Linked DNA regions of Caenorhabditis elegans. The protein of the gene in region 1 interacts with the protein of each later gene in a pairwise test. Each region holds a gene or a part of one and is shown in the gene's direction. Other genes may lie near its edges.

What was found.
Region 2: the proteins of gei-18 (region 1) and ptpn-22 interact in a two-hybrid assay, tested with the Caenorhabditis elegans proteins (one large-scale study listed by BioGRID).
Region 3: the proteins of gei-18 (region 1) and ceh-17 interact in a two-hybrid assay, tested with the Caenorhabditis elegans proteins (one large-scale study listed by BioGRID).
Region 4: the proteins of gei-18 (region 1) and mbk-1 interact in a two-hybrid assay, tested with the Caenorhabditis elegans proteins (one large-scale study listed by BioGRID).

The regions. Positions count from the first base shown.
Region 1 is NC_003282.8:13,980,519-13,984,227, reverse strand, and holds gei-18 (GEX Interacting protein), read left to right. Parts: upstream 1-1,702; 5' UTR 1,703-1,704; coding exon 1,705-1,762; intron 1,763-1,998; coding exon 1,999-2,103; intron 2,104-2,164; coding exon 2,165-2,334; intron 2,335-2,391; coding exon 2,392-2,689; intron 2,690-2,751; exon of another isoform or gene 2,752-2,772; intron 2,773-2,813; coding exon 2,814-3,006; intron 3,007-3,050; coding exon 3,051-3,141; 3' UTR 3,142-3,166; downstream 3,167-3,709. Other genes in the region: tor-2 (Torsin), read left to right, coding at 368-428, 623-806, 857-1,544.
Region 2 is NC_003282.8:1,734,850-1,739,783, reverse strand, and holds the start of ptpn-22 (Protein-tyrosine-phosphatase), read left to right. Parts: upstream 1-1,899; 5' UTR 1,900-1,918; coding exon 1,919-1,966; intron 1,967-2,013; coding exon 2,014-2,092; intron 2,093-2,137; coding exon 2,138-2,313; intron 2,314-2,997; coding exon 2,998-3,106; intron 3,107-3,829; coding exon 3,830-3,968; intron 3,969-4,934.
Region 3 is NC_003279.8:4,568,250-4,571,706, reverse strand, and holds ceh-17 (Homeobox protein ceh-17), read left to right. Parts: upstream 1-1,679; 5' UTR 1,680-1,682; coding exon 1,683-1,846; intron 1,847-1,897; coding exon 1,898-2,124; intron 2,125-2,422; coding exon 2,423-2,745; 3' UTR 2,746-2,942; downstream 2,943-3,457. Other genes in the region: col-52 (Collagen triple helix repeat protein), read left to right, coding at 1-6, 398-493; idpp-10 (Intrinsically Disordered Protein, expressed in Pharynx), read right to left, coding at 3,395-3,457. UniProt on the Caenorhabditis elegans protein: Probable transcription factor involved in postembryonic differentiation of the ALA neuron, and regulation of genes that contribute to behavioral quiescence, a sleep-like behavior mediated by ALA.
Region 4 is NC_003284.9:14,819,382-14,826,409, reverse strand, and holds mbk-1 (Dual specificity tyrosine-phosphorylation-regulated kinase mbk-1), read left to right. Parts: upstream 1-1,869; 5' UTR 1,870-1,875; coding exon 1,876-2,220; intron 2,221-3,387; coding exon 3,388-3,486; intron 3,487-3,537; coding exon 3,538-3,607; intron 3,608-3,676; coding exon 3,677-3,780; intron 3,781-3,827; coding exon 3,828-4,003; intron 4,004-4,057; coding exon 4,058-4,237; intron 4,238-4,284; coding exon 4,285-4,481; intron 4,482-4,542; coding exon 4,543-5,351; intron 5,352-5,431; coding exon 5,432-5,742; intron 5,743-5,936; coding exon 5,937-6,216; intron 6,217-6,307; coding exon 6,308-6,385; 3' UTR 6,386-6,501; downstream 6,502-7,028. UniProt on the Caenorhabditis elegans protein: Possible role in the function of olfactory neurons.

The DNA.
Region 1 (3,709 bases):
CTGCTCAAAATAAAATTGAATTGGTACAAAAATGTTTTTGAATAAAATCAGCCCTTTTGAAATGAAAAAGTTCGCTGAAAAATGGTTTCTATTGAAATTTAAATTCTATGTTCAATGTTTCTTTATCTTCAAATTTCGTTATCAGTGCATCAATCTATTTTTCGGTGTGATTTCTCATGGATATTTTGATGTTAGCAAGAATACGCAGATAACAAGCGACATCTTCTGTTCCATTTCATTTTCCTTTACTTCTCACTTGTCAAATATTTTGTTTTATTCTGAAAGAAAGATGCAATTTTTTAAATATATTATTTTCGTTATCATTCTTAATCAATTAGTCGTCGATGTCCACAGCTTATCAATGCCAATGTTTTTAAAATGTTTATTTTACACTTGCTGCGGTGAAACGGATATATTCAATTATCATGGTGAGTAGCAATATTTTAAGAAATTCAGTCAAAATTCAGAACACCATGCAAATTGTTTCTAATGTAAAACACAGCTATATACAAATTTTGAGTTGTGCTCCGTGATAAGGAGCATTTTTCGCACTTTTTTTTTTGATACTTTTGAAAGAAAAACCGTTTATTTTTTAAATATTTTTCTAAACTTTACATTTCAGCGTTATACAAAGATTTCGATAATAAAATTTTCGGGCAGCACTTGATGGCAGAATCTGTAGTTCATTCAATCAAATCTCATTGGCACAATGAGCATTCTCAGAAGCCGCTAGTTCTCTCATTTCACGGCGGAACCGGCACTGGAAAGAATTATGTGACTGAAATTATTGTGAACAATACTTATCGGTAACTTTTCATTGCTTAAAATTTTTTTGAGAAACAAGTTTATGTTTTAGAAGTGGAATGCACAGCCCATTTGTGAATTATTTCGTTGCAACAAATAATTTTCCGAATAAAAAGTATATTGAGGATTATAAATTGGAACTGAAAGATCAACTTATAAGATCGGCCCGAAGATGTCAGCGATCTATTTTTATATTTGATGAGACGGATAAGCTACAAAGTGAATTGATTCAAGTGATCAAACCATTTCTTGATTATTATCCGGCGGTCTTTGGAGTGGACTTTCGGAAAACTATCTTCATTTTTCTAAGCAACAAAGGGAGCAAAGAAATTGCTAATATCGCATTAGAACATCATGAAAATGGTAAAATAAGATCACAACTCGAGTTGAAGCATTTTGAACGAACACTGATGCTTTCTGCATTCAATGAAGAAGGTGGTCTTCGTAACACTGATATGATCTCTAATCAACTTATTGATCATTTTATACCATTTCTTCCCTTATCTAAGTTCTACGTTTCCCAGTGCATTCAAGTACATCTTCGAAAACGCGGAAGACATGATTTGGCAAAGGATGGAGAATTCATGCAAAGAGTTCTTGATTCTCTTGAATTTTTCCCTGAATCTAGCAAAATATTTTCCTCGTCAGGATGTAAACGTGTGAATGCAAAGACTGATCTCGAAATTTCCAAGATGGGATTCTCACTCAATTCGAAGAAAGAGTTTAATGATGAGTTGTGAAAGTATTTTCTCCTGTTTCAAGATGTTGATAAATTTGTGTTCAATATTTTTTATGGTTCGGTGTTCTCTAAGGCTTTAAGTGGTTTGAAGTTCCAAATACTTATTAATTTGTTAATTTATGCATGTTTTTCTTTTTTTTAAATATCATTATCATCCTCAGATGACTCCGCGGAAAAATAGTGGAACGATGGGAATGGAATTCAACAAGAAAACTCAGTGTGAGTTTTTAAAGTTTGTAGAACGCCAAAAAATTTTGTTTTCTTTAATTTTTTAGGCAAATTTAGAATAAATTAAAAAATTGTAAACTTATGCAAAATTAGATTCTAAAATAGGTAGCAATATGTACACAAAAAAGATAGCAAAAAACGTAACGCCTGCTGTAGGTAAGGCCTATCTAAAAATCTACCTACAATGTAATCCGTAGTTTTCTATTCAGAAATGTAACGATTTCCAGATTATTCGCAATGCCAATTCTGCACTTTGAAAATTTGGTCAAACACGGAAATTGTTCTTGCTGGTGGAAATGTAATTTGCAATTTGTGCATTGCCGAAAAAAGCCGTGAGTTTTTTCCCCTAAAAGTCCAGAAATGTAACTATTAACAATATACATGCTACTTCAGATGCCGTTCAATTCGACAGAAAATATATGATCAAAACATTATCAAAGACATTTTCAAGAAAGTGGGAAATCTCGAATAATTTAATAATGACACTGCTGATTCTTTTGCTCTCTGCACTTTTTTTTATATCTCAAGGAACTTTTTCAATGCTTCAAAATGAACCAAACCAGGTTTGATTTTTCCACATAACTTTGTTCCTTTCGACAAATAAATTTGCTTATTTACAGGATCGAAACCCCTACCAAAACTACATAGAATCAGTAAGATCCTTTGTCAATTCGGATTTCTCAGATATTTCAAAAGAAAATCGGAATCTTTTGAGATTAATTGGTGAACAAATGTTTTTACATCCAGATGAACATGCTCCGCTTGTCATAGTTATTGCTGGTTTGAAAGCTAATGAGTTTTCTGAAAAATTAAACAAGGCAATTCAAAATTCTAAATCAGAGACAAATTCAAATAATTTACCAATTGAAATTGGAAATCAACTTGAAAGAGGAGAGCTACATGCAATATTGAACAATGGTTAGTTTTTTTTTAACTGTTTCACCAAGTTCATTAATTTTGGGCATTTTTGACACTTACGTTATATAGTTGTAAATGTATTTTTCCGAAAATCTCTTGAAATTTATTTCACTTACCACTTTAGCTCTCGCATCACAAATGACACCTAGAACAGCAGTCCTGACAAATATTGATCTTCTTGCATGGGATGCAGTTTTAGTGCTCCATGCCTTTGCGGACCATGGAACTTTTCCCATCCCAAAAACTGTACTCCTCCTAGCAGTATCAACAGAAGAAACTACTTATTCTGGGAATAGTTGTGATGGGAAAATTTTGAAGTAAGTGATTTTTATTTTTAAAATAAAAAGCAATTAAATTCCAGGCTTGTAACGAACCGCTGGATCGAAAATGGAGGAAACTATGACAATATTCCACCAATTGTAGCCAGGATTTCATATTTTATGTGCTTATAATAAAAATTATTTGTTTAAAAATTTAGTTTTTGTTTACTTGGAAATTGTGAAAAAATATGGAATTTTTAAACTTGGTTACTGCAATTTTGTTCACCGGGAAAAATTACTGTTTCAAAAGATTTGTTTAATTGAAAATCCTCATGTTTATTTGGTTCCTTTATATTAAAATTTTGATTAGAAAAATATTATTCACGAGAAAACAAAACAAGTTTTTAAGTGTTTCTGTGAAAATTTAGGGCAGATCAAGTGTAGATCACACAAAATTTTAGGGAAAATCTATAGAAATGCACATTTAAATGTGAAATTAGAAGAAGATATAATATGATCTACGTGTGATCTACTCAAATTTTTCTCAGAAACGCTCAAAACCAAAGGCTGACCGCGCGACAAAACGATTTTGAAAAAAAGTCCTCTTCGAACTCAGAGAATTTAAAATTTAAACTATATTTTGTAAACAAAAACAATTCTTTTTCCTGTTTGTTTTTTTCATCATAACTTTTTATCAGTTTTTCCGTTTATCAATTTAGGGTTCAGTTTACGAAAAAAATAAAAATATTTACATCAATTT
Region 2 (4,934 bases), about 12 Mb from region 1:
AATTTTTAAAGTATATTCTCAAGAAATTCCTCTAACTACTAGAAAATCGGAATTTTCCGATCAATCTTCCACACATCTCTCCCTGGCCACCCATTTTCCCACCGTCGCCGCAATCAGATTAGAGCTCACAGCGGAGAGAGCGAGAGTGCACAAAAACACGAGAGACTCAGAGACAAAAAACTGTGTGTAGGGGGCGCTGCGCCGCGGTGACACGAGGAATCGGGGACGCGGCGCGAGAGTGACAGTAAATGTCTATGTGCAAATTAATGTGACGGTGTTTGCGGCGGCGGCGGCGGACGTCATTTTTTTCACCTCTATCTCTCTTCTTTTTCTTCTTTTCACCCAGAAATGTTTATTTATTCAGTTTTTTTTTCAAACTTTTTCAAAAAAAAAAAAAGTTTTTTTTCATCGATTGAGTCACTTTTTAGGCATAAACACCCCAGAAACCAAACCTCGCGGCTCGTGTACTCCCCGAGAAGGTTTTTCGGTTTTTTTTTGCTAAAATTCTTGATTTTGAATTTTTTGTTCAGTTTTTAAGTATATTTTCTGGAAAAATTCAGTTTTTTTACTAATTTTTCCACTAGAAGTACGCGAGTTTGGTTTATTCACGAAAAACGTGACTGCAGCAACAAAAAAAGCACGAACGAATTCCAGGAATCGCTCGCCGCCTCGAGTTTAGTTTTATGAGAGTGGCGAGAGCATTAGAGAGCCTAGTCTTCTGATTTTGTTGTACTTCCGGCTTTCTTTTAGACTTTAATTTCAGGGGATTCCTGCCTCCTTTTCTGCAAAAAAATTGTTGAAATTTTCAACAGTTTCTAGTAAAAAATTTGAAAAAACTTTGTTTTTCACGAAAAAACCTTCCGAAATTCCTCTAAAAACCAATAATTTGAAGCTAAAAATCTCCGAAAAAGACAACAAAAAAATCTTCGATTTTAAAAAATTAAAGGCGCATGGAATTAAATTTACACTTGGGTCCCGAAACGATTATTACAGAATTATTAGAATTTTGCATAAAAATTTCATTTTAATGAACGAAAAACGAATTCTTTGAGAGATTTTTTGAAAAATAAACAAGTTTCCCGCAAATTAATTGGTGAAAATTCTCGATTTCTTATTAAAACTCTAAAAAAACACGGCAAAAATCAAAAACTACAGTAACCTCACTTTAAAGGCGCATACACTGTTCTGGCGGAATATCGGAGCGTCGTTGCCTTCGATTTTTTTTTAATTTTGAAAACAATTTTGCCAAACTTCAAAACTTAACCGCAAAACAAACCCCAAAAATTGACCTTCACATCCCCGGCGCCTAGTTTTCAAATTCGCGCCGCTGCAACGGAGCGCGTTTGCATTTTTCTCCCCCCCCCCCCCATCGCAATTCACACAATGACTCACCCGCGGGCCGCTACTTTTTTATTCAGTTCTGAGCGAATTTCGCAAATTTTCACGCAGAAATTTCGATTTTTAGGCTGAATTTCGCCCAAATTTAGGCCCAAAATCCGTGTTTTGCCGTATAATCCAGACTAAAAACGAATTTTCACTAGAATTTCGCAAATTCATCATAATAACCTAATTTATAGGGATATATCGAATATTTTATGCCTAAAAATATAATTTTAACGCAAAAATTGCTTGTATTATTCGTTATTCGTGTGTTGCCTTGAAAAAACCATTGAGTTCAAATTTGGCCTATTTTTCCCTTTTTCCCGCCTAAAATTAATATTTTCCTTGAATTTAAATTATTTCTTCATTTCTCAGCCGAAAAAATCTAAATTTTGTCTAAATTTCCAAAATAAAGCTGCGATTTTCAGAGAATTTACTGGAAATCCCGGATTTTTACCGATTTTTTCAAATTTTTCACTGAAAAACTTGAATTGCAAGCCAATTTTTCGCGTTTTTCAGGTAACGAAACACACAACGAATGTCAGATGACACATCGGCATCCGTCTGGAACGATGGCGGCCCTCCAGTTCGTTTTTCACCCGATTTCACCCATAAAATTTGGTTTTTTTTCAGGAAATTCAGGAACAAAAGCCAAAAAGCCCACCGCCGCCACTGCCTACATCGAATCCAGTAGTCAAAGATACTCCAAATGGTTCGAAAATAGCGAAAATTTAGGCTAAAAAACACGAATTTTCAGTAGTACCCACCGGCGATCTAATTCAGTTCGAAAGTGAGGAGGAGCGGGCGGCGACGACAGTTCCCAACGGAAATCCTGTGATTTTCGAGAAAAATCCGGCGATGGATGGGCTTTTGCGCGAATTTCTGAAGGAAGAGGAGGCCTACACGCCGCAGGACTATTTGCGCAGATTTTATGTACGGATTTTGGTCGAATTTAGGGAATATCCAGCGAAATTCTACGATTTTCGACGATAATTAGCCAAAGTTTGGTCGAATTTTAGCGATTTTCGAGCCAAATTCTGTCAATTTTCGGTCGAAACTTTTTTCAAAACGAAAATCACAGATTTTTGACACTTTTCGCCAAAATTTGGTCATTTTCACTGGTTTCCACACAATTTTTCTCCGATTTTTGACGAGTTTCTCAACAAAAAAACTATTTATAGCGAATACTGCCAAAATTCTGGAAATTTTTCGCAGATTTCGATTTATTCATGACTTTTTCCCTAGAAATATAGCCAATTTCGAGAATTTCCGGCAATTTTTGTCTAATTTTAACGATTTTCCTCATTTTTTTCCGTTAAATTATGGCAATTTTCTACTTTTTTTGCCGAGAATAGACAGTTTTGTTAATTTTTATAGGTTTTCAAGCATTTTTAGCGAATTTCTCGAATATTTAACCTCATTTTAATGGAATTTTGACAGTTTCGACGAATTCTGTCGATTTTTTGCACTTTTTCGCCAAATTTTGCACCATTTTCAACGACTTAAATAGATTTTAAGCAATTTTCACTTGATTTTTGGTGATTTTAGGGTCGATTTCAGCCAGTTTTCCCCCATTTTCCACCTGATAAAAACCCACAAAAATCGATTTTTTTTCAGCAAATCCGAGTGGAACAGGAAAAACTGCGAATGGAAGCCGAATATCGGTCAGAGTGTGCCGTCGCACCGCAACATTATGCTCGAAATCGATATCGCGACATTTTGCCGTGTAAATTTTTGATTTTCATCGAATTTTTCGCCAAAAAGTGTGGTATAGCGTCATTTTCAAGCAGGAAAAGCGAGAATTTTGACACTTTTTTTTTGGGAAAAATCGCATAAAACTGTGTGTTTTTTTAAAAAAAAGGATTAAAGGACGATCCGTTCTTCAAGTGCTTTGCACTGCGGATCTGGGATTCAGGTACATTGCCTGGTGGTGATCCCTCTGGGCTGTAATTTAAGCCACGTCTTAGCCGGGGACTGTGGCCGATAATCCAGTCGTGGATTGCTCCACTTCCCAATAGAGGCTGGGTGAACCTAGGGGTGAGGCCGGACTTGAACTCGTGACCTCCAGACTGCTAGCGGCCACCACTACCGACTGAGCTATCTGCCTCCCATTTCAGAAAAATCGAGAATTTCTTTAAATTTGACCAAAAAAAAATATTTCAGATTGCAAAAATATTCAAAATTCACGAAATTTGAAGCCTTCTGGCCATTTTTAGCAAAAAATCCGCAATTTTTTTCTGAAAAAATTTTTTAATGCAATTAAATACGTTTTTATTGACGTTTTCACTGATTTTTTTTTTGTTTAATAAAAAAATTGACCAAATTTGATGAAATTTCTCAAAAATTTTCGAATTTTGACGACGCTATACCCATTTTAATTAACTCTAAAATTTGAAATAAAAAAAATCCGTTTTTTTCCAATTTTTAAGCACAAATTTCGCCATTTCAGATGACAAAAATCGTGTGGAAATCCAAAAAGACAGTGAAAACCCCGAAGGATATATGAACGCTTCACTAATTCAATTGCCTGGTGGAAAAACTGAATTTATTGCGGCACAGGCTCCGCTACCGGCTACACTCGACGAATGGTATAGGCTTATGGAGCTCAAAAATGAGCATTTTTAGCTTGAAAATGCAGGATTTTGTGTAAAAAAATTAGTTTTTCATGTTAGCTCCGAAGCAGCAAACATTTCTGACAAAAAAGGACAATATCAAGCCAGAAATTGAAATTTTTAATAGAAAACTCCAAAAACCTCCGAGCATTTTTTAATTATTTAAATGAAATTTTGAAGATTTTATCTTCAAAATCGAACAAAATGAAACTTTAAAATAAATTATTTTTCAGAAATTTTTAGGATTTCTTGAGAATTGAAAAAAAAACAAGGAAATGATGAATTTCAAGTGAAAGTTGCAATTTTTCAGTTAAAAATAAATTGAAAATAAAAAATGAAAAACGAAAAATTTCAGTTTTTCCGTTGAAAAATCTACATTTCAAGTAAAAAGCAGCCTCCGAAACTTCCACATTGAATTTTTTTTATTAAAAAAAAATTAAAAAACGAATAAAAAGTTCCCCTAAAATTTCTTAAATTCACTATTTTGCTACTTTTTCGATTAAAAAAACACTTTTTTCTGTAAGAAAAACTCTGAAATTGATGGATTTTATTACGGGAACACATAATTCTTAGAATGCGTATTGCACAACATATTTGACGCGCAAAATATCTCGTCGCGAAAACTACAGTAATTCTTTAAATGACTACTGTAGCGCTGTTGTGTCGATTTACGAGCTCGTTTTTTTAAGCAAAACATGAGAGAATAATACGAAAAAAAAAAGGAAAATCGCTGTCACTATTCGAAAAATAAATTCATTTTGAAAATCGAGCCCGTAAATCGACACCAACGCTACAGTAGTCATATAAAGAATTACTGTAGTTTTCGCTACGAGATATTTTGCGCGTCAAATATGTTGTGCAATACGCATTCTCAGGATTATGTGTTCCGGTAATAAAATCCATCAATTTCAGAATTTTTCTTCTAGAAACAGTGTTTTTTAT
Region 3 (3,457 bases), on another chromosome or scaffold:
GGGCATGTAAGTGAAAAATTAGTAAATTATTTTGTGATATAAATATTCACAAAAATTTTTTAAAAATTCTCTAAAAAACGGAAAATTTTGAAGGAAAATTGTTATATTCTTTTAAAAAATCAATTAACAAAATAATAGAGAAAACCATTTTCTTTCTGGAAAACCTCTAGAAAGTACAATTATTTTGTCAGTTGACAATTTTCGGCTAAAACTGAAGGCATAGGCTGCCAAAGTTGAGCAAAGACATACTAAATGTTTCACCTTTAAGTGTAACTTATTCTTGTCTTGTACCTAGCTAAAGCACACAAAAATTTTAGTGAAAATTTTACTCAAAAGTTTGGCACATTTAAGGCAGGCCCAGCAATTTTCAGCCGATACATTTTTTTCAAATTTTCAGCCAGGACACACGGGCCGTCCCGGACGAGATGGAAACTACTGCGAGTGTCCGCCAATGTCGCGACGAAATCCATTTTACAATTTGTTGTCAGCTTAATCAAATAAACAATTTGACATCATCTGTTGTGTGGCTTCAATTTGATGTGATTGCGTGTAAACTAGACCCTAATTTACCGTATACATTTGGGAGGGAGGAGGGTGGATCCCCCTCCCCTCCCCACGCGAAAACACTTAGGAAATGAGATGTCAAGTGCGCTCTAATACCAGTTGGATACAATATGACGCAGAGTTTTTGGTAGGATTTAGTGAGAAAAGAAGTGAATTGAAATTGCACAAACATGCCTGCAAGGAGACCTACGCATGCCTGCTGTTTTACATCGAAAATTGATTGCAATGAAAAAAGAAGTAGGTAGAACACCAGAATTAACGCCAAAATTCAAAAACTAGGCGACAGGCAGGCAGACATGAGGCCTAGCTGGCAATAATACCTGATTTTTAATAAAGACTGGCAGCTACCTAGGTCCTGCTACGGGCAAAATATTTCAGCTATCGTACCCGCGAGAATTTTGCCAGATTTTATATTTTTGAAAAAAGCTAGATTTAAGAACCGCAATTATTTTTAAAATTCTGGCAACCAGGGGAATTTGAAATTAAGCATATTATTAAGTTCAGAAAGTGAGAAAATTATAAACTAAAATTTTTCAATTTTTTTTTTAAACTACAGAAGTTCGCTTTTGGAAAATTGAAAAAAAAAGACTTTGAACAAAATTAAAATTGCTTAAATTTTAAAAAAGCTTGCACATTTTTTTGCAAAAAAAACGCTGTCGAGAATCCTTCCTACAGTACCCCCTAGCTCCTCCCACTTTGTGGCTCACTTCTGGAGCTCCAACCCCGCCCTCGAGTCTTGCCGGATCTGTTTTGGATAATCCCGTTTTATTGTCAATTTTGTGTCGTTAACCAATTTTTCCGGTGCCGTTATAAAATTTGAAGATTTTAAATAAATTTTCGATGAATTCAGATAAATTTCAAACCGAATCAATGAAATTAAGAAAAAATTGCACACGAGCAATATATTCTGTTTTAATGTTATATTTAATCGAAGAGAATAACTTATGAATTTGAGCATAGAGCATAGAGGATTAACCTTAACTCTGACTCTACTCAAATACCTGTAAAGTGTCGGCTGCTTCAGCACAACTTGTGATATACCGAATAATTATTTCCTTTCCCTCTATTAATATAACTTCTTGTTTAACACTTCTGAATTTATCAATCTGTTCCAGGCGATGATGATGGAATACGGTGGCTATTTTTCAAGTAGCGCCGTGGCTCAACAATCAGGCGATGTTCCAACAACTGCACCATCTGCAGTTACAAATTCATTTTTCTATACACCACAGTCACATAATATTTATCACCAATATGCAACTCCGTATCTACAAAGTGGACGGTGAGATTTTTTTCCAGTTTTCTCCCTGTTATACTAAGCCACTTTTTTCAGTGCCTTGACAACTGCTCACAATACTTCAAGCTCTTCAGCGGGCAATTCCACATCTTCATCATCTTCCTCATCAAACTACCGTAATACAACACACGATTCACTACAAGCTTTTTTTAATACTGGTCTACAATATCAGTTGTATCAAAAATCACAATTAATTGGAAGTGATACGATTCAGAGGACAAGTAGCAATGTTTTGAACGGACTGCCAAGAAGTTCTCTTGTTGGTGAGTGAAAAAATCGGGGTATAGGCTCCAATTAGTCTTGACCGGCTGTTCTACTTTGACAGCCTATATCTAGATTGCATATAAATTGTGTGCAAAACGCGGAGATGGCGGCTGCTGGAAAACATAATTTCACAATTTTTGTGCTTAATTTCTTTTTTTCTTATTATCAAGTATGAAAATATGGAAACATATATTTTACTTTAAAAAACCTTTTGATGAAACAAAGATAACCGAGAAAAAGGTTGTCAAAGTGGAGTAAAGGGGGTCCAAGACTAATTCGAAAAAAAAACTTTTCCAGGTGCTCTCTGCTCAACCGGTGGAGCTCCTTTGAACCCTGCCGAGCGTCGAAAACAACGCCGAATCCGTACCACATTCACATCAGGACAACTGAAGGAGTTGGAAAGATCATTCTGTGAAACTCATTATCCAGATATTTATACACGAGAAGAAATTGCAATGAGAATTGATTTAACTGAAGCCCGAGTTCAAGTGTGGTTTCAGAATCGGCGGGCGAAGTATCGAAAACAGGAGAAGATCAGAAGAGTTAAGGACGAGGAAGAGGATCCGTTGAAGAAGGAACCCGGGCAAATTAGTTTAGAAGAGATTATTGATCAAATTTGAACAAAAAATGTAAAATAATTGCTTGTGATCTCTATTTATCTCTTCCTTTTTGTAATTATTCAAAAGTAGTGCTCACTTAAAATTGTATAAAAGTAAAAAACCGTGCTGAATGTGTCTCTATGTCAGTTTTTTGTCCAGAATCCCATTGCTTCTCACTTTTTCAATTTATTGTTTTTTTCAGGAATAAATATAAGTTCTCAAAATCTTGAAACTAGTAACACCCATTTTTACGGCACTTTTACGAAACTTCCTTTTTCTGATTGTTGTGTTGAATTTTTATTTGGAAATTTATATAGAAATATGAAATAATATTTGTGCGTTTTGAAAATAATGCTAACTTTAATTGAAAGTTTTGAAAAAATTCCCAAAAACTGTCTCAAAGCCGCAACCTATTTATGCCGACCGGCCCATTAAGTATGTTTTTGAGCAACTTCTTAAACTTTTCAACTGAAATTATCATTATTTTCAAAAAGTACGAATGTTTCTCTATAACTCTGTATATAATTCCAAAAAACCATCGGCAAAAAAGTTCCGCACACCTCTGGAGCACATCTATTAGGAAATAATTTAAATATACATATATTATTAATTTGAAATAATACTTGCGTAAATAACATTAAAATAAATAATCGAAAAATAAGTAAACGCCTCAAATCTTCTCGTTTTTCTTTTCCTTTTCCGTATCCGGACCTCGTTTTCCTCGATATCCTGA
Region 4 (7,028 bases), on another chromosome or scaffold:
TGGAGCTAATTCATGCGAATTTTTGGAAGTTTCTGTTTAAAAGCTGGTGATTATGAATGTATTGTTTAAATGGATACCATAACCCTAAAAATTATGTAATACACTTAAACAACCGCATAAAAATTCAAATGTCTGAAACGTATAAAAAATATAAGCAAACAATTCTTATTATAAAAAAGTTGAAAGATCAAAGCGATAAACAAGTATCTTTTTGAAACCAAACATCACAAATTTCTGAATAGCTTTTGATTTTTTTTTTCGTTTTTTGTTGTATCAAGTATGTATCAAGGTATCAAGAGCACGGATTTCTTATGAACTTTAAATTTACAAATGCACTTTCAGTATGGCAGGAGTCCACCAACGGCAGCTGTCAGTAGATTTTTCTTGAGGAACTTCAATCGAATCTCCTATGATATTTTATAGTTTTTTTTTGAGTTTGGAAAGGTTTATTTCTCATGTTTTATATGTTTGAAATGGTTTCATAGAAGACTCAAAATAAAACATTTTATTTTCTGCAAGTGTTTTGTATTGTGTTAGACGTGTTTATACAATTTTGTACTTTAATATAAGTTTACTTAGTTTTTGAGGATACATATTTTAAAACGCAGCTAATTTTTAGAGTTAGAATATTTTATAGACAAACTCAAAGATTTTTTTAAAATGTTTTCAAAATACTATGTTGCTTGGCCACCTGTAATTTTATTATTTGGAAAAAAATATCCCGAGATCGGGCCAGAAAAAACGACAATAAACTGATGCTTATACACCGTAAACACGTGGTGCCAGAGTGTCTCATTTCGGTTCGATCTACGTAGATCTACAAAAAATTCGGGAGTTGAGACGCAGACTTCTCAACTGATTTCGCATGGTTAAGAACGTGCTGACGTCACATTTTTTTGAGCAAAAAATTCCCGCATTTTTTGTAGAACAAACCGTAGTGGGACAGCCTGGCATCACGTGCGTAAAGCGTAAGTTTTATTCAAGTTTTCCCATATAAATAAGTTCTTTCCCAGAGGTAGAATTCGAACATTACTTTTTTTAATGATTTCCACTTCTCAAACTATATGCGTGTTACCATGTGAAATGTTAATTCAAGATTTGTTAAAGGTTTCAGAATAAATTTTCAAAATTACAGCAAAACCCTCAATTATCTCGAAGTGCATTGAAATCTCAACAAAAAGTTCAATTTACGGGGTTCGAAACGCAAATCTTCTTGATTTCTCATGTTAAGTTTTCATTTTTATAAAATAGTTTTTTTTTCAAACCACAATCCTTAAGTTGTGGTCTTATTATCAAATATCACGTGTTATACTTTTTCAATACACCCCTTTTTAAATACATAATCCACCTGGAACTTTTTTTTCTGTAAAATGTAACTCTTTGTGGCAGATGGCGCACCTGCTCGAACCATTTCCAGCTGCAGAACTTTTTGTGTCTTTGTATCGTTCCACCGTTCGTCCCCACTCCGTTCGTCCCCGTTAACCCATGTTCCCCACTCTCTCATCAGTTGTTGAGAGCGCTGCGTGTCGCGTTGCGTGTCCTCGACTCTCTCCGCTCACCACACTCTTTCGAGCCCTCTCATTCACATGTGATCTCTCCTCCGTGTTTCTCTTTGCCTCTCCAATGAATTTTTATCGTTTCATAAATAATTGTAGTGGAACTACTTGTTTTTTTCTTGTAAAATTTAATTTTTTTTTCAAATATTTCAAATATTGCAATTTTCCGTGAATTTTAATCTTTTTCTTGTTATATTCTCTTTTGAATATTAAATTTTTATGTTTTTTTTTTTGATTTACTCTATTCTGCTCGTTCTCTTGAAAATTGTCATAATTAGTTTGAAGATTTTAACAAATTTTCAAAAAATTTCAGGAAAACATGAACACAGCAGACGTGCCTGACAATCTTCAATCATGGGGCCAACAACCATCATCAAGTTACTCAAATACCCAGCAACACTCACAAATGACTAATCTTCCGCCTATCAATCACAATAATCTTTGCGACACCGAACCGATGAACGAGGACTTTCAACTTCAAGACGTGCAAGCTGACGAACTTCAGAAGCAGCAAAAACAGCAAGAGCAGCAACACATTCAACAGCAAAATGCACAACGTTTCATTGCACAAAGCCGTCAACCACATTCCAACATTCTGAGATTCCCACAGCCACCAATCACTTCAATTAAGACGAATTCACACGCTTTCTATCCACAGCAAGAGGTTTGTAGAACGTTTTTTTTTTTGTGTTTGAAAAAATCACATCATTCTAAAATGGAATATTTAAACGCTGCTCACCCCCACATTGCTGTAAATAATTTTCATTTTGAAAAATAACAGATAAATTTCAAATTTGCAAAAATAAACTAATTATAAAATATGATGATATTTGGAAAATATTTCATTTTAATTTCTAAATCTAAAATCTATTTTTGAAAAATAAAGCTTTATGAGCCGTTGCCATTGTTACGTTGATAAAACCGTGATTCAAAAGAATCTGATTTTGAAAAAAAATAACGATTGACTGATTTTTTGTGATTAATAGAAAATTGCCGTTTTCCTGGAAAAAAATGGAAAAAAAATTGGATTCTGAAGATTTTTCGTATCATTTTTGTATCAAAATATGAACTTTTGTATTTGCAAGCTTTCAATGTTATTTTACAGTTTTAATAGTATCATCAACGTTAAGATTTAAATTTGTTTGGCAACAAATCCCATGAGTAGTAGAATTGTTTATTTTAAAGTTTCAAAATCAACTACTTTTACATTTAAAATTAACCTGTTAACTGAAGCCTACTAATTGAACATTACCAAAATTTTTGATTTTTTTTCTCAATTTGAATGGTAGTAATTTATCAAGATTTTAGGTGTTCTGCTATTAATTTTTTTAGTATTTTAGTATTTAACTAATTGCTTATTAGTTCAAAAAACAAAAAAAAAACTAGTTTAATCTGTTCAAATTTCTTATCAGTTACCGACGTGCTTCACATAGTTGCAGCAATCAATTCTAGGTTTTCACATAATTTCCTTCATCGGGTGTTCTTATGCAACAGGGCAGTAATCACTGAAGGGCGAAAGTCGAGCTTTACACTATTCCGTTCTTTTCCCTCTTCTCTCCCATCATTTCCTCTCCCCCTATCTCTTTTCTTTTCTACACACTCAACAAGAAATCAGCATTTGCGTTTGCATTGCGGTGCGGACGTTTTGTCTCTCCTGTTGTTATACTACCGCTCTGCACATTCGTGGCCATGCCCAACCTCAACAACTTTTTCAGTCTCCGAAATGATCACTTTGTCCTTTGATAGTTTTTGCCCCCGCTCCAAATTCTGCAAGCGCTTTTTCAGACTGATCCTAGAGTACCTTCTAATGTTGCAATCTTACAAGTTTCAGGTCACCCAAGTCCGGCCAAAGAAGCATCGCGTATCCATGACTAATGCAGAAGCGGCACTAACTCCCGGAATGCCTCCGGAAAAACAAGCCGCAAAGAAGGTACAGCCTAGATGATTCAACTTCTTGACACATATGTCTCAAAAGTTTCAGAGAAATATTGGCCAGTTCTCGACAGATACTGTTCCGGCTGGAATTGGAATGATTGGTATCCCGTTTGAATGTAAGTTTGGCTAGCTTTTGTGAAAATATTATAAGAATAAAAAATAAAAATAAATTGTACACATTCCAGCTACCTCAAAGCCACTCCAAATTCAACAATTCCGAAATCCTCAAGACGCGCCAGTCAGAAAACTAACCAGTGATCTCATCAAAACTTACAAGGCTATCAATGAGGTAGGCGAAGATGGAAGAGAGTCTTAATACCGCTATAAAAGTTTCAGTCTTTCTACCTACGGAAACAGGTTCGACGTGATCGTCACAAGAGTCAAGATGCCGGAAAGCCAAAGGGATCCAAGGATGGTTCCGGGGCGAGCCTGACTGACACATTCTCCATTCACAATGCGATTCCAATTACGAGTTCTGATAATCATTATCAGCAAGATGCTCATCAAAATGCGTATGTTGTTTTCGTGTGATATTTGAAGAGTTCACTTTTTTTTTTGACTTTCAGTCCTCCTCTACTTGACACTAATGCTCCGCCCACCTCAACAATGGTTGTTCCTATGCGCACAGAGACTGATCTTCAACAGCAGCAGCGACAGAAAAGTAGTCGTGGCGGTCCGTACAATAACGGGTATGACGATCAGAATTACGACTATATTCTTAAAAATGGAGAGATATTTGACAAGAGGTATGCTGAAAGCACGAAACTTATTTGACTAACAGCCTATTTTTCAGATACGTGATTCTCAGTGACACGCCGGTTGGCAAAGGATCTTTCGGGCAAGTTACAAAAGCTTACGACACGCTGAATAAAGAAGAAGTCGCTATTAAAATTATCAAGAATAAGAAGACTTTCTTCGATCAAGCTCAGATTGAGATTCATCTTTTAGAATTGACAAATGCACATGACAAGGATAATAAGTATAATATTGGTAAGTTGCATGACATATTAACATATTCAATGTTGATAGAATCAACTTTTCAAATTTTCAGTTACGCTCAAAGGGCACTTTGTGCATCGGGCTCATCTTTGCTTGGTATTCGAGCTTCTCTCCTACAACCTCTATGATCTTTTGAAGAACACCAGTTTCCGTGGCGTTTCGTTGAATTTGGCACGCAAATTTGCCCAGCAATTAGGAAAAACTCTTCTCTTCCTGTCATCTCCAGAATTATCGATTATCCATTGTGATTTGAAGCCGGAAAATGTGCTACTAGTTAACGCGAAGCGGTCTCAAATTCGTGTGATAGATTTTGGATCTTCTTGTCAGACTGGACACCGAATCTACCAGTACATTCAGTCGAGATTCTATCGTTCGCCGGAAGTGCTGCTCGGCATCGCGTACGACACGAAAATTGATATGTGGTCCCTGGGATGCATTCTCGTCGAAATGCACACCGGAGAGCCGCTGTTTGCCGGGTCATCGGAGGTTGACCAAATGATGAAAATTGTGGAAGTTCTTGGTATGCCACCAAAAGAGATGTTAGACATTGGCCCGAAAACACACAAGTATTTTGACAAAACTGAGGATGGGATCTACTATTGTAAGAAGACTCGTGACGGATACCGCCATACCTACAAAGCTCCTGGAGCCAGGAAACTTCACGAAATTCTGGGTGTGACTTCTGGCGGGCCCGGAGGTCGCCGGCTTGGAGAGCCAGGACATTCTGTTGAAGATTACAGCAAATTCAAAGACTTAATAAAGAGAATGTTGCAATTTGACCCCAAACAAAGAATTTCGCCCTATTATGTGGTTCGGCATCCGTTCTTGAAGCAGAAGGAAGAGCGAGTTCCATCTCAACCGGTGTGTTTTTTTTAATTTAATTTTTAATTTTTATTAAAATTTAAATTTTTTAAATTTTCTTTCAATATTTAATTTTTTAGCCGGTGTCTCACTCGAACCTTCAGCAACAACAGCAATTGTACATACAGCAGCCGTCAAGCCAAATGAGTCAAGTGATGGAATCTCCGTCGGTTGGATCAGTCTATGTGGAAGATAACGGGATGTATCGCCAGGCGCCTGGATCTTCTGCCAACCCAATTTCCGTCACATCATCGTTTGACGAAGGAGATGCCATGGAAGTTGATGCTGGGAGAAGACGCTTCTCTGCTCATCAGCAAAATTACCACAATCCAAACTATCAGTACTCTCAACCACAACAGCAACAGCAGCAGCAGTATCAGCAGACACAGCGGTAAGTACAAGTACAAAGTTTGGTCTCGTGTGAACCTTATGAGATTTTGGACTTTTTGGACAGCTGCTCCTATGACACAAACTCAGAGAAAATAATTGCGTCATCAGGAGACTACCAAAAATTTTGTGGTGTTCGAAATAGACAAGAAATTTTAAAACTAAAGAGAGAAAAATTATATATGTAGAAATTTCTAGAACGCAACTGGAGCAGCAGCAGAAACAGGCTCAACTCCAACAGCAGCTCCAGCAACAGCAAATGCAGCAACAGCAGCAACAGCAACAACAACGCCAGCACATGCCACAAGCGCAGAGCAGTTCCCAACAGCACCTCCAATCACGGGCGCGGCCACGACAACAGGATCAGAACGAGTGGAGGAATCAGTTTGAGCTGGATGACACGTTTCAGCAGAAGCAGCGAAAAGTTGATGACTCTGTATCGAATCAGATTTCTAGAAATCAATTCAATCCACAACAGGTGAGATTTTTTTTTGCAATAAAAAAAATGCGCTGCTGCACCCCCCACCCATCATTCAGAAAATGCCAATTATTGAAAATAAATATTTTAGGTATCGATGACGCATGGAAATGTAAATGCTAACAACCGAGAGATGGAGAAACTCGATTACCCGAACAACAAACTCTGAAGCACACAGAGTCTAATAGCTAATTTTTTTGGAAATTCTGTCAATTTGATGTAATGCTTGTTATTTTTTTTTGTTTCTGTGAACAATATGGAGTTAATAAACACTGGTTCAACTTTAGCATTTTTTTATTACTACTGTTGTATTTTCAATTATAAGTTCTCAATTTATCAATTTAAGAGGGTTTTTTTTTTGGAAGTTTTAATTAAAAATATTGGAAACATTTAAAACAAGCATGAATGACGTGTCAACAGAAAAAAAAACCTGTTCAGATATTTCGTAACTTCTCTATTTGCCAATGAGCTATCCTCAACCCAAGCAGCAGCGGGGCATTCGTCACCGACTGCAAAAAAGTACTACATACTAGAAGTTTTTCGTTCAGAATTTTCTTGCAATTTCTGCCATTTCCCCCACCGCCCGTTTGCCACCAATGTCCATCCATCCATTTCGCAACGCGACCAGGAAGATATTATAAATCTTCGACGCCTTTAGCCAATCCCCCCCCCCCCCGTCATCTCCACAGGAAAACCTGTTTTTGTTCTTCTCAAGTTCCATTCGTTTCTCTGTATTCTCTTCATTTTTCGTCCAATTTCATATAACACACCCTTTCCATCCATGTTTCTTTTTTTTTTTTAGGAGGCCCGTT